Neurospora crassa OR74A: one gene and its partners. The protein of the gene in region 2 interacts with the protein of the main gene of each other region in a biochemical or structural test. Links are inferred from orthologs where the notes say so. Each region holds a gene or a part of one and is shown on either strand. Other genes may lie near its edges.

Evidence for each region. The genes of interacting proteins can lie anywhere in the genome.
Region 1: the proteins of NCU02011 (region 2) and NCU01249 form a complex in vitro, tested with the Saccharomyces cerevisiae proteins (6 studies listed by BioGRID). The link is inferred for Neurospora crassa OR74A from reciprocal best matches to the Saccharomyces cerevisiae genes KAP95 and SRP1.
Region 3: the proteins of NCU02011 (region 2) and NCU02808 form a complex in vitro, tested with the Saccharomyces cerevisiae proteins (2 studies listed by BioGRID). The link is inferred for Neurospora crassa OR74A from reciprocal best matches to the Saccharomyces cerevisiae genes KAP95 and NSP1.

The regions. Positions count from the first base shown.
Region 1 is NC_026505.1:3,366,264-3,370,560, reverse strand, and holds the start of NCU01249 (importin alpha subunit), read right to left. Parts: upstream 2,801-4,297; 5' UTR 2,455-2,800; coding exon 2,221-2,454; intron 1,957-2,220; coding exon 1,447-1,956; intron 1,396-1,446; coding exon 493-1,395; 3' UTR 1-492. Other genes in the region: NCU01248 (hypothetical protein), read left to right, coding at 3,778-4,297. UniProt on the Saccharomyces cerevisiae protein: Functions in nuclear protein import as an adapter protein for importin beta nuclear receptors. Binds specifically and directly to substrates containing either a simple or bipartite NLS motif. Promotes docking of import substrates to the nuclear envelope.
Region 2 is NC_026501.1:1,681,562-1,685,647, forward strand, and holds the start of NCU02011 (importin subunit beta-1), read right to left. Parts: upstream 2,825-4,086; 5' UTR 2,223-2,824; coding exon 2,171-2,222; intron 2,046-2,170; coding exon 1,987-2,045; intron 1,906-1,986; coding exon 1,099-1,905; intron 1,045-1,098; coding exon 1-1,044. UniProt on the Saccharomyces cerevisiae protein: Importin beta subunit that functions in nuclear protein import through association with the importin alpha subunit, which binds to the classical nuclear localization signal (cNLS) in cargo substrates.
Region 3 is NC_026501.1:9,052,819-9,056,796, reverse strand, and holds the start of NCU02808 (hypothetical protein), read right to left. Parts: upstream 2,801-3,978; 5' UTR 2,194-2,800; coding exon 343-2,193; intron 234-342; coding exon 36-233; 3' UTR 1-35. Other genes in the region: NCU02809 (hypothetical protein), read left to right, coding at 3,638-3,713, 3,804-3,978.

The sequences.
Region 1 (4,297 bases), on a different chromosome or scaffold from region 2:
CATCGGCCCCGAGGCTCCCGCTCCCTTCTCCTTGGCTTGATCACTGCGCGTCCGAACATGGCTATAGGGTTGGAGCTTTCAAGCTACCATTCAGACCCTTTGATTTACTCTCCCTTCATCATAAAACGCATCATCGTGTCCTCATCAGGTTCGAGCTTTCGCACCAAAGGACCAATCGGCCTCCATGTGCGTCTACTTATCCTCGCCTTTCTCTTTTAAACATAACTTTGATAACGCCAATTCAAGGGGTATGGTGTGGTGAATAAGCGTGAGGGGGCACTATGAGATTGAAGCAATATAGTTCTGCCGTGTTGTGACTTGTGTTTGGGCGAATGAACTCGTATGGGGGAGCCGAAAGGCTGATGGGGTAAGATGTTTATGGTAGGATTTCCCAGATGGTGCCGTGATCAACATCACATCTGGGTCCCCTCATCCCAATCTTTAACCCAACCATCCCCTTCGTAAAAAGAACTAGACGGATTGTACAGCATTTTACATGTCCATCGACTCGGTGCCGTTAGCACCGAAGTTGAAGCCACCCTGCTGGGCACCACCGGAAGCACCGAATCCAAACTGCTGCTGAGCGCCCATGGCCTCATCACCGGCCTCGTCCTCGTCGGAGAAGTACTTTTCAATGATGTTGTACGCCTTCATGTAGATCTCCTCGTTGGCGTTCGTCTGGCAGTCGTGAATCTTCTCCATTCCTCCGCATTCCTCGATAAATAGGGCATAACGGTTGATCGAGTCAGGGCCATCGCCAGCGGCGTTCTTGTCGAGCTCGCCAACCTTGAGAATATTCTCAAGACCATCCAGGGCAACCTGGATAATCTTGTTGTCAGGGCAAGCCAGAAGGTCGCAGAGCGGCTTGATGCAGCCTTGAGCAACCAAGTATCTGATCTGATCGGGCTTCTGGAGACCACCCGAAGTCGCGTTGCTGATAGCCCAGCAGGCCTCCTTACGAGTCTTGAGGTCGGCATGGGAGAGAAGGTGGATCAAAGGAGGGATGATGTTGGCGTCAATGACAGATTGGATCTGAGCCGAGTTTCCAGCAGTAATGTTGCTGATGGTCCAGCAAGCCTCCTTGCGGATGCCATCCTTGTTGGAGCTCAGAAGCGACAGGAGGCAGGGAAGGGCACCGCAGTTAATGATAACCTGGGTCTGAACATCGTCTCCCGTCACAATGTTGCCAACGGATCGAAGCGCGGGCGTCTGGACAGAGGTGGAAGCATGCATGAGGAGCTCAACAAGACGCCTGGGAATGCCAGCCTCAATAACCGCCTGGATTTTGTCGTTGGATCCATCCGAGAGGTAGGAGATGGCCCAGCAAGCGTCAATAAGAACCTCGTCGTCGAGCGAGTAGACGAGCTTGGCGAGAACTGGCAAAGCAGGGGCGATCTATGATGGATCAGTAGACATACTAGATTGTTCGTGATCGAGAGAACTAACCGTGTTCCAGTCGGGCTGAGGAGTCTTGCCACGGCAGAAGTTACTAAGAGTCCAGGTAGCATTCCTGAGCATGCTAAGTTTGCGGCTATCACCAAGGAGGGTCAACAAAGGACGCAGAGCACCGCAGCTTAGAACGTAATCACGGCATTGAGGGCTATCGCCAGCAATATTGCCGAGAGCCCAAACAGCCTGTTCACGCACATCAGGCTCGGGGCTTCCGAGAAGCTCGACGAAGATGGGAACAGCACCAGCTTCGATGACAACCTGGGTTTGAGTGGCAGAGCCCGAAGCAATGTTGGTAAGGGCCCAAGCGGCCTCGAACTGGACCAGGGTGTGGGGGGAGCGGAGGAACTCGACGAAGCGACCAACGACGCCGGTCTTGATAACCTCCTCAATGGGAGGGTTGCGCTCCTTGCTGAGCAGCTTTCTGAACTTAGTGGTCGCCTGAATTTGCTTATCGATCTCACTGGAGAAGACACCCTCGACCATCTTGGGAAGGTCCTCGCTCAACTATGACAACTGGGTTAGCATGTGGAGATCAACTATAACAAAGATCGGGGACGTGACGGAATGTGGGGTGGTTTTCGTTTGTACAATGTTCGAGTTTGCGCGCGCAGCTTGAATGCAGGTTCGGCACTGCCTGGGGGTTTGTGGCTCAAGCATCACCATCATCGGCGGGGTACACGTGGGGGAGAGAAGGGAGAGGCGATGGACGGACGCAGTAGCAAAATTGTGGCCGATCATGTAAGGGGAGTAAGATAGAGGTTTGCATACCTGAGACTCGGTGGGAGGGTTCTCATCGTCACTGTCGGGGGCGGCACCAAGGGAAGCTCCAGGCCGCGAGTCGCCAGCACCAATACCGCGCCTCTTGGCCAAGTTCTCCTCGCGCTTCGCCTTGCGAATTTCGACCTGCTGTTCCTCACGACGGCGACGAAGCTCATCGGGCTTGAAAGCACTCTTGGCCTTGAACTGGGTGCGACGATGCTCGGGAATGTATCGGTCAGCCATGGTTGCGACGCGATGTCGAGACGACGGTGTCTAGACGGATGGGTGATGGAGGTGTGATATGAAGGCGGCAAACGAGGGGCGATGCAATCGATGAAGCCCCGGCGACGAAGTTGCTGCGAGCCGTTCAAAGGGAGGTATATGCGATCAAGAAAAGCCGGAGAATTGGAAGAGCCCGGTTGATACGGTCCTGCCAAAGCAATCCTGAATGGGACGGAGAAAAGTATGGGTGCGTTGTCGGCGAGACGGAAAACGTCAGAGAAGGATTGGGTTTTGGGGATGGATGGGGCAGGCGAGTTGTGTGTTTTTTGAGGAGCGACGATGAAAGAATTTGGGAGTTCGCCCGCGCCTCGAGCAGAAAGCGGAAACAAGAATGCGGCGGCGGCTTGTCCCCTCCTCTACCAGCACTTTCCACCTCCACGAAAGTGAAGTCCAAGTGCAGGCAGTCACTGTGCCCTGCCTGCCACTCAGTCACAGCTGCCCCTCAGGCCTGAAGGTGGCCCAGTCACTGCCCACAGCGCCCAATGCTGGCACCAACTGTAGCGAAAAGAGTTTGGCTTCTGAAAGTGGGGATGGAAGAGCCAAGCTCGAGCACAGGCCACATGAGCAGCTTTGTAACTTGTCCGCTGTTCTTGGAGTGCAGGAACTTGTCCACCATTGGGTGGCCCCACCTCAGAGCGGCTGGACCCTCCAGGCATTCTTCTCATTCCTTCCATTTTGCTTGTGAACGTCATGGATTGTTTGCAGGTTACACACTGCCCGTCATAACTTCATCGACCTCAGGCCGCGTCCGTCGAGCCGCAAGCTTTTCGTTTCCCTGAATGACTACGACATGTTTCAGTTACTTGAAAGAACGACGTCAAAAGGCCGCTCTCAACCTCCCACCGTCTGAGCTAGGTAGATACGTCTTTGCTACCTCCAGGCTTTAGGTTGTGTTGGGAGGCTGGCCTGCAAGGTCCTGTTCGGGAGTCCCCGACCCCTCATGACTATACTGGGTAGGTAAGAGAAAGCACAGACCATGCGTCTAACCATTACCGTAGCCCTGCAAGGCTTGCTGAAAGCACAGCGCTTCAAGTCTGATGGTCTGGCCCGACGGGCGGCCAAGACCCTTGCCCTGCACATGCGGTCGCGCAAACTTGGCGATTGGGCAGGTGCCATTTCCGCTTTCAAGACGCGTAAAGTGAACGCGTAATGTACGACGTATAACACTGAAGTCCCCAAGTTGCCCTACAACGGTTGGTAAGTATCACGACCAACCGCTGGTGGTGTTTCATCCACATACTCATCCGCCGCCATGTAATCGGAACGGAGAGTTGGGATATCCAGATGATGCGCCCGCTCAGAGACAGGAAACCGGCGGCCAAGGCAAAGCCACCACTTTTTCCGTCAACGCTCACACCCCTACGAGCCATTCTCGACGATGACGGTGATGCCCAGCCCGGGTCCATGGTCAATGTCATTGGTGTTCTTAAGGACTGCCGAGCACCCGTCGCGACACACGGATCGGACTGGAAGTGCACCCTGACCATATCTGACCTGTCCATTGAAGATGAATCGGCCGGAGTTGAGCTCGTCATCTTCCGCCCCGAGGCACGGATGCCCGAAGTCGGCGCCGGAGACGTGCTTGTTGTTCTAAGCGCAAAAGTTCAGAGGTTCAAGTCCAACCCAAAGTCTCTCATCACCAGCAAGATCACCACCGTTTGCGTTTACAAGGCAGCGACAATACCCGTCTATCCCGCTTCAGCACAGGTAGCACTCTTGCCCCCAAAGCAAGGTGAAAGCCACAAGCTGTTGAAGGAGGAACACCACCAGTATGTGTCCTACTTATACAACGTGATCGACAAGT
Region 2 (4,086 bases):
CAGGGCATTGTACAGGAAGGGAGCAAAAGCGTCCATGTACTTGGCAAAGTCCTCCTCCATGGCGTTCGCAAGGCCGCTGATGGCTGCGAAGACACCTTCAGGAACAGCCGACTTGCCATTAATAGTGTTCAAGAGCTGAAGCAGAACCTGCATGATGCGGTCGCCTTGGGGAGTGATCTCCTTGTCCAGGCGCTGAATGATTGCCTGGAGCACGGTGCAGAGACTGGTCTGCATATCCTCGAGAGTGATCTTGTCTTCAACGCTGACAACTTGGGATTGCAGGGGCAGTGTTTCCTCCAAACGTTGAAGGATAACATCCGAGAGGGATGCAACAGCAGGGAGACTGTCGTTGGCAGCATTCTGCACAAACACGTTAAGAACCTCGTAGGCAGCGGTGCGAACTGTAGCGTCACCGTCAAGCTTCGCCGTCACGGCGAGCAAGTTGGTCACGCACTGGTTGAAGTGAGGAGTAATGGGGTTTTGCGCGGCACCATATTCGCCGCCAAAACGCTCCGCGAGGTTCATCAAAGCCCAGCAGCAGGACGCGGCCATTCTGGGGCTGCTCATGAGGCCGTTGAACAGGGAGGTGATCAAGGGGTCAAGGTGAACAGCAGGATCGATCACTTCCGAGCAAGTTTCTGTAATTCTGCCAAGAGCGTATGCGGTCGAGTCACGAACATGTAAAGAGGGGTCCTCCATCATGCCGATCAAGGGCTGCATGCCAGACTTGACGATAGGCTCAAGCAACTTCTCCTCGGGGCCGTCCATCATGGCACCGAAAGCAGAAACAGCGGCATCACGGAGGTGCCAGTCGTCAGCGCGAAGGTTGGCTTCAACGAACTGGATGACTGGCTGGATGATTGCCGCACCAACAGCCTGAGAATAGAGTTGGAGACACTGGTACGCGGCACGCGAAATGTTGTACTCGTCATCAGCCGCATCCTCATCTTGCTTGGTGAGGAGCTGTAGGAGCACAGGGACCACTTCGAGTGTAGCAACGCGGGCGAAGTTGTAGAAGGGGCGCATCTGCTCCGAGCTCTCAACCTGCAGCTGTTGTTAGTGGGATTCTTGCTCAACCAAGGTGGCAGTGAAACGTACCTGAGCATTGTCATCTTCGATAGCAATCTCCTCTTCGCAAACGGTACTCCAGAACTCAACTGCAAGCTTGGCCACATCCTCGTCATCGCTCTTCATGCCCAGGATGGTGAGACCAAACAAAGCCTTTTCCATGTAGAAGCGCATGTTCTCGTAGTAGAGGGCCATGATGCGGTTGAGGCAACCATAAGCACCCTGCTGTATCCGAGAGTCCTCGGCCTGTGTCGCCTCGCAAATAACCTGCATAATGTAGTTGCGCTCGCCCTCATGCTTAAAGTTGTTACCGACAAACTCAAGAGAGTCGCCGAGGGCGGTAATGGCGGCAAGTCGAACTTCGCGGTTGGGCTCCTCCTTACGAGCACCTTGGACAACAGCTGTGAGGATGGCATTGGAATGTTGAACCAGGCTGTTTCGTAGATCGACATCTTGACTCTCGCAGATGAAGCCGATGGTGGTCAGAGAGGCCTGCTTCTGGTGCTCGCTTCCCTCGCTAACATTCTTGACCAGGGCGTGCATAAGGTCTGGCCACTCGTTTCGTGGTAACTCGATGGTAGCGATAGCCGCGATAACCTGCGCCGAGGCCTGGCTTGCCTGGGTACTGCTGGAGGCGAGGGTCTCGAGGGTGAGCTGTTTCACCCGTGTCTTTGTGTCTTGGTCTGTCTGCTGAAGCCATTTTGCTTGGAGCTCTGCTTGCCTAGCGAACTCGCGAGCACTGAAGGCGTTCTTGAGGGCGATACCGGCCGCCGCTCGGATGTGGCTCTGGGCGCTCTCATTTGCCAACTCTTGGACAAGTGTCACGAGGTATTGAGACTAAGAAACAGCCAAGTTAGCGTTTATGAAGGCCTTGCTGTGGGGACGCGACACAGGAGCAACGAGGGGAGGAGGCCATACGAAGTTTGTCTGAGCGGCTTGGCTGAGCTGCTGTTCGGCAGCATGTCGCAGGGTCGCGTCTAGAGACAAGGAGTCAGCATGTGCGTCACGGCTTGGACGAGCTGACGCGATTCATCATGGCGAGAGCGGCTGCCAAAAGGCAGGAGGGTCGGGGCATGGGTGAGGATGTCGAATATATACTGACCAGGACTCAGCGAGTTGGTGAGGACGGTGTTGATATCTGAAGAGCCCTCCATGGTTGCGGTTTGGATGCCTGGTTCGGAGGAAGAACGGGTCTCTCTCCAGCAAACGAAGCGGGTTGGCGGTGGTAGTGGGAGAAGAGGGAGGGGGGGGGTTTCCGAAAGGGAGAGAAAGTCGGCCTGGGCTTGATGCAACTAAAGTTTTGCTGCGTGGAACAAGCGGGGGGCGGGAGTCCAAGGTTCACGGTCCACAGCAACCTTGAATCTTAATCGGGGCAAGACTCGATTTGCTTTCGGTGAGATCAGATCGAACCGCAGAGGCGAGGCGCAGATGCAGAGCCGTGGGTGGGATCTGGATGCCAGGTGATGGCGGTTGGTGGATGGATGGTATCGATGCGGTCCGTCTGGAGACGATTGCGATGGGGATAGAGAGGGATGGATGGGGGATGGCGATGCGAGGGGTTTGTCGCTGTTCCGAGCGTTCGCCTGCAAGTGGAAGGAGAGAGGAGAATCCAGACACAGTGCAGTGCTGACGCCGAACTGCGGGTCTTGTTTTGCTCGAAAATTTTGTCAACAATCGCAGGTGCTGATGCTTCGCCGTGCTGGTGAAGGTGCAGGTGGGTGGGTTGTGTATGCTTTCAGTTTCGATGCTGTCCGGCTGGGGGGGGGGGGGGGGGGGGTGTTGTTGCCTGTTGTTGTTGGGAGGGACGGGAGCCTGTAACGTATCCCAGTACCTAGTGCTGTGTTTGGTGTTACCTTCGTCGCCTGGCTCGTGCGGTTTCTTCGCTAAACTTTTGCTGACCAGGCCTGAAAGGTCGACGGGAATGCTCGCCTGCACCAAACGGCTCGCTCCGTGTTTCTCGGGAAAGAAGGAATTAGACGTCTCACTGCAGGAAACGACTTGGGAAGAAGGGACAATGAAATGCAAAACCTCTGCAAACACTTCAAGAAGACGCTTTGCCCACGGGCAATTGAACAAAGTTTTAGGATAAAGAACATCTGTCCTTTCATGTGAAGTGGAAGTAAAAGATGGCACATGGTGTACCTAGGTACCTATGATGGATGTCTCCAAGAACACAACTGAGGTGGCCAGGCTCCCACGACGCCCAAGGCTCAGTGCTTCACTACTAGCAACTACACCCTACCCGGCAACCGCAGGGCTGCTAGACGTTGAACGGGGGTCCAGGTGCCGCATTTGAAGTGGAGGGCTGAAGGCCGGGGGGTCGTGGAAAAGGGAGGGTGAGAGAAGTGACGTTTCTATCCGCTTCCAGATGTGCACTGTATCTTTTCTTAGGCGTTACCACCAACTCTACAGAAACTTACCAACAACAGTTACCTGCGGACCAAGGTTGAGAGACCTATCCTCTATGACGCACACCCCCTCCCCGCCCAGATTGTGGTCTCTCTTAGTTACAACTGAAGTACCTACCTACGTATAATGTTGCTTCCCTGGCGCTTGTTCAAAGGTCCCTGCCTGCCTGGCCGGCTGCCAGACAAGCCAGACTTCCATGCTAACAGGCAAAAGGAGATGGGGCTCTCATCGGCATTGGCTGCCTAGGCTAGCAGTGACTTCCCTCCCTAATATGTAGGGGGTCTCTGAAATCCAAGAAGCCCCCATCCCTTTTCTTCCAGAACACCCGTCAACAGAAAGCGTTGTGGATGTAGTGACCACTTCTAAACTGTTAGATAAAGAACGCTCCTTGTCGTACCAGTTAATACCTACCTACCTAGCGATTATAAGAAGGTACCACAGATTCACGATCAAGCTCCCTCTCCAGCATCCCTCGGGGATTGCTGTGTCGTCCGTATAAGTCTTCCCACCAAGATAAATACCTGCACTTAATAAGGGACAGCCAACGGCTATTTGGTTGGGTTTCCAGGGCCTACACTAAGACAGAAAACACTCGGCCTCCATTACCGT
Region 3 (3,978 bases), about 7.4 Mb from region 2:
CCATTTATTTCCCTTCCCTTCCCTTCCCTTTCCCTTCACCTGTTCACACCACCGGCCCTGTACGAGCGGTAAAAGCTCTGAGCGGCATCCGACTCGTTGACGCCTTGGTGGGCACCCATGCCGCTGGTAGCCTTTTGGGCAGCGGCCACCTTGGCTTGGAGGTCGGCGGCGTTTTGGTCGATCCACTGAAGCTGGTGAAGGTGACCGTTGAGGACACGGACGATTTGGCTGAGCTGTTGTGTTTTGTTTATCGTGTGCGTTAGTGATTGGATAAAATAAGGGAAAAATGGAGAAAAAGGAGAGAAAAAGGAGGAGAAAAAAAAGGGAGAGAGAAAAACATACCGGATCATCAGGCTTGCTCCCCTTGCTCAACGTGCCCGTCATATCATTTATCTCCTTGATCATCTTGGCCAAATCCTTGCCCATCTCATCCAGCCTATCCGTCAGCTTCTCGGCAAGCTTATACGTCCTCTCGCGCTCCTGATCGGGGCCCAAGCCGTCGCCAACACCGCCAGCAGCCTTTGACTCGCCGCCGGATCCAAGCTGCTGCTTCTTGAACAACTCCTCCAGCTGTGCCTCGTACTGGTCCAGCCACGCGGTCAGCTCGTCCTGCTGCGACTCGACGCCCGAGAGCTGGCGCTCGATCTCGTTGCTGGCCTTTTCGGCCTCGTACGTGCTGGTGTACAGCTTCTGGATCTTCTCGCCGTTTTCGACCAGGAGGCGGTCCCATTCGGCCACCTTGGCGGCTTGCGACTTGAATTCCTTCTGGTACTTGGAGAGATCGGTGGCCCAGCGGGTGATGATTTCATCCATGGTCTTGTTCTTCAACCGCGGGAGAGTAGAAGTGGGGCCGGTGGTCGTGGAGGCGAGGTTGCCGGTGGTGCTGGTGGTGCCGGCGGCAGTAGTGGTGTTGTTGGTGGTGGTTTTGGAGGTGGTGGTGTCCGCAGGCTTGGCTCCTCCTCCAAAGAGACTGCTGGTGGTTCCAGCAGTGGCGGTGGTGCTCCCACCGGCAGTGGTGGTGGCCGCTGTGGTAGTGGCGGGCTTGGTGGTGGCCGCACCGAAGAGGCCGCTAGTTGTGGTCGAAGACGAAGGAGCAGGCGCCGTGGTTGTGGTCGTCGAAGGCGTAGTCGATCCAAACAAGCCTCCTGATGCTGGGGCAGTAGAGGTAGTGGTAGCATCCTTGTTGGCGCCGAACAGACTGCCGGAAGCAGCAGTGGTGGTAGAGGTGGCAGGAGCTGAGGTAGCAGGAGTGGCGCCGAACAGACCACCCGTAGCTGGCTTTGCGGCTTCGGCCGGCTTGCTTGTGTTGGCACCAAAGAGGCCGGAAGTTGCTGGTGCTGTGGTGGTCGTGGTCGATGTCGTAGCCGGGGTTGTCGAGGCTCCGCCAAACAGGCTGCCACCGCTGGTCGCAGGCTTCGCGCCAAAGAGAGTAGATCCGGAAGTGGCTGTCGTCGCGGGAGTTGTGCTGGACGCAGGCTCGGCTGGCTTGGCGCCAAAGAGACCAGAAGTGGTGCCAGAGGTGGTGGTCTCGGCTGGCTTCGCTCCGAACAGAGATGGTGTTGTTCCCGAGGTGGGGGCAGGGGTTGTGGTCGGGGTACTCGAGGCTCCTCCTCCTCCAAAGAGGTTGCCAGAGGCAGGCTGGGTAGCACCAAAGAGAGAGGGCGCGGCCTTGGAAGCGTCAGCAGCAGGTGGTGCACCGGCTGGGGTAGTCGATCCTAGTCCAAACGAGGTCTTAGCCGGCGTCGTCTGAGAGTTGGCGCCAGCTCCGAAGAGACCACCGGTAGCCGGAGTAGTAGAAGCATTGTTTCCAAACAGACCTCCCGAAGGAGCTCCTGTTGCGGGTGTGGTGCTGGCCCCGCCACCAAACAAGTTCGAGCCACCAGCGGCGGGGGTTGTCGATGTGTTGGCAGTGGTGTTTCCAAACAAGCCTGCGCCAGGCGTCGTGCTGCCTCCTCCGGCAGTGTTGGAAGCAGAGCCGAAAAGCGAAGGTGTAGTCGAGGTGGTATTGGCTCCGAATAGTCCTCCAGGTTTCGAGGCATCTGTAGGCTTAGCGCCAAACAAGCTACCGGCTGGCTGTGTCGAGCTCGCTGCTGGGGTGCCGAAGGAGGAGGCTCCGAAGAGACCACCGGATGTAGCAGTTGTTGCTGGTTGGCCCGAGGCCGCGCTGGAGCTTGGTGTACCGAAGAATGACATGATTGCGATTATGTGAGGCTGACGATATGATGTCGAGGTTTCGGGGTTGGTTGGTTGGATGGATGGATGAGGCGTTGGTGGTTGGGTAGTCGTCGTCAACCAAAATCTAGAAAGTCAACAACAGCGTCCCACTTCCCAAGGCTGTTGCGGTTACCTCAACAACAACAGGGAGCGCGCGGAAACCCAAGCAACGATTCGTTGAAATGCGAAGAGGAAGATCGGCGCGATCTCGGTTTTGAGTAAGTGATGCAATGGTCCAGCCGTGGTTATCGGATCGCGAGTTTTGGACGTCGGTTCGGAATCCGTTTGGTGGAGTGGACGTGGACGTCGTTTGGGCGTGGATTGGAGAAAGCAAAGAAAGTGTGGCAGCGTCACTCAGTCTCTCGGTCTCTGTTTGTCAAGGTTCCGTCCGTCGCGACAGGCCTTTCCACTTTTTTGGAGGTGCTGCAGCGCGCCTGGGCTTTTCCCCTTCTGGGGACCCGGACGCGCACTCAACAAGGCCAAGCATTTCCCGCTTATTGGAGCACTCCAGTCACCACTGCAACGAGTCAGCCCCAGGTGAAGTGGTCAGCCTCACCTCACCTACCCCGTCTAACATTTTACTAGCAAGTGCCAAGCGTGCACGGCCAATCAATATGTGGCTTGACGGCAGTTCGACAACTGACGGAGAACTTGAGCAATGACGGGGCGGGCCTCATAAACTGAAGCGAAGTGCTGACTTTCCACTTGCCGTGATGCTCTTCTGCATTCTGACTGGACCGTCTGGTTGCAGCACATTACGCAGCGAGTTACCATACAGTTTCCGGACACGGCGGTACCTTAGTACCATACCGTACCGTACCGTACCGCACCGTCCCAGGGTAGCCGAGCAAGAAGCAGGAGCCCCGTTCAGTCGTCTCGGAAAGCTTGGGGTGGTGGTTACCCCATGTTCTAGATTAGGCCATCGTGAGCCCATCCTCTAGACTAACTCTAGGCCATCCGGAAGCTGTTCCTTTCTCTCGTCTCTCTCCACACACATTGCTGTCCATCGTCTGGACATTGGGATGCCACAAGTCAGCCGCAACGTCTGTGTGCATACCCAATCTTGATTCAGTTCACTTTGACCTCAGGCCATCTGCTGCGTGCAATTGACCTATCTCCTGCAGAGTATAAGAGTCGGCTTACTCCCGTCTTGTTATAGGACACTCCAGTCCTGTCCCTCACAGCAGTAAACATACTGTAGCACCCCACACCAACTACATCACTCCTCAGTCCTCACCTTGGCCCCCCGATCCCCGATCCCGATCCTCCCATATCCATATCCATATCCATATACATATACATACACCTATCTTGCTTCCTACCTACCATATACATTTCTGCGCTTCCTTCAGCACTCACCATAGTCGGAAATCCTCTTGTTCTTTGATCGTATAGACCGCCGCGACTACGCTTCGAGATCACAATGGCTTCGCGCAGGAACAGTCTGTCGCCTCCCGAGAGGCAGGGGACCATGGACCCGGGCGCTCATGAGCTACCTGGTAGGTTACAGCTGATGGGGAACTTGGGAGACCTCTGGACAAAGTCGGCACATGGATATCCAACTAACCATTCATTCTACGCGACAACAGGCTCCGACACCGAAGATCACTACTCCGATGCCATCTCTTCTCCCAAAGCTCCCTCCTCGCCCATCCCGCGAACAAGAGTCGAGAGAGTAGACGACAAGCCGGCGTATGGAGAGGTCCCGGGGACCAAGGCGTATTCTATGAGGGAAGGGGACGCGAAGCCGGATGAATTTGCCAT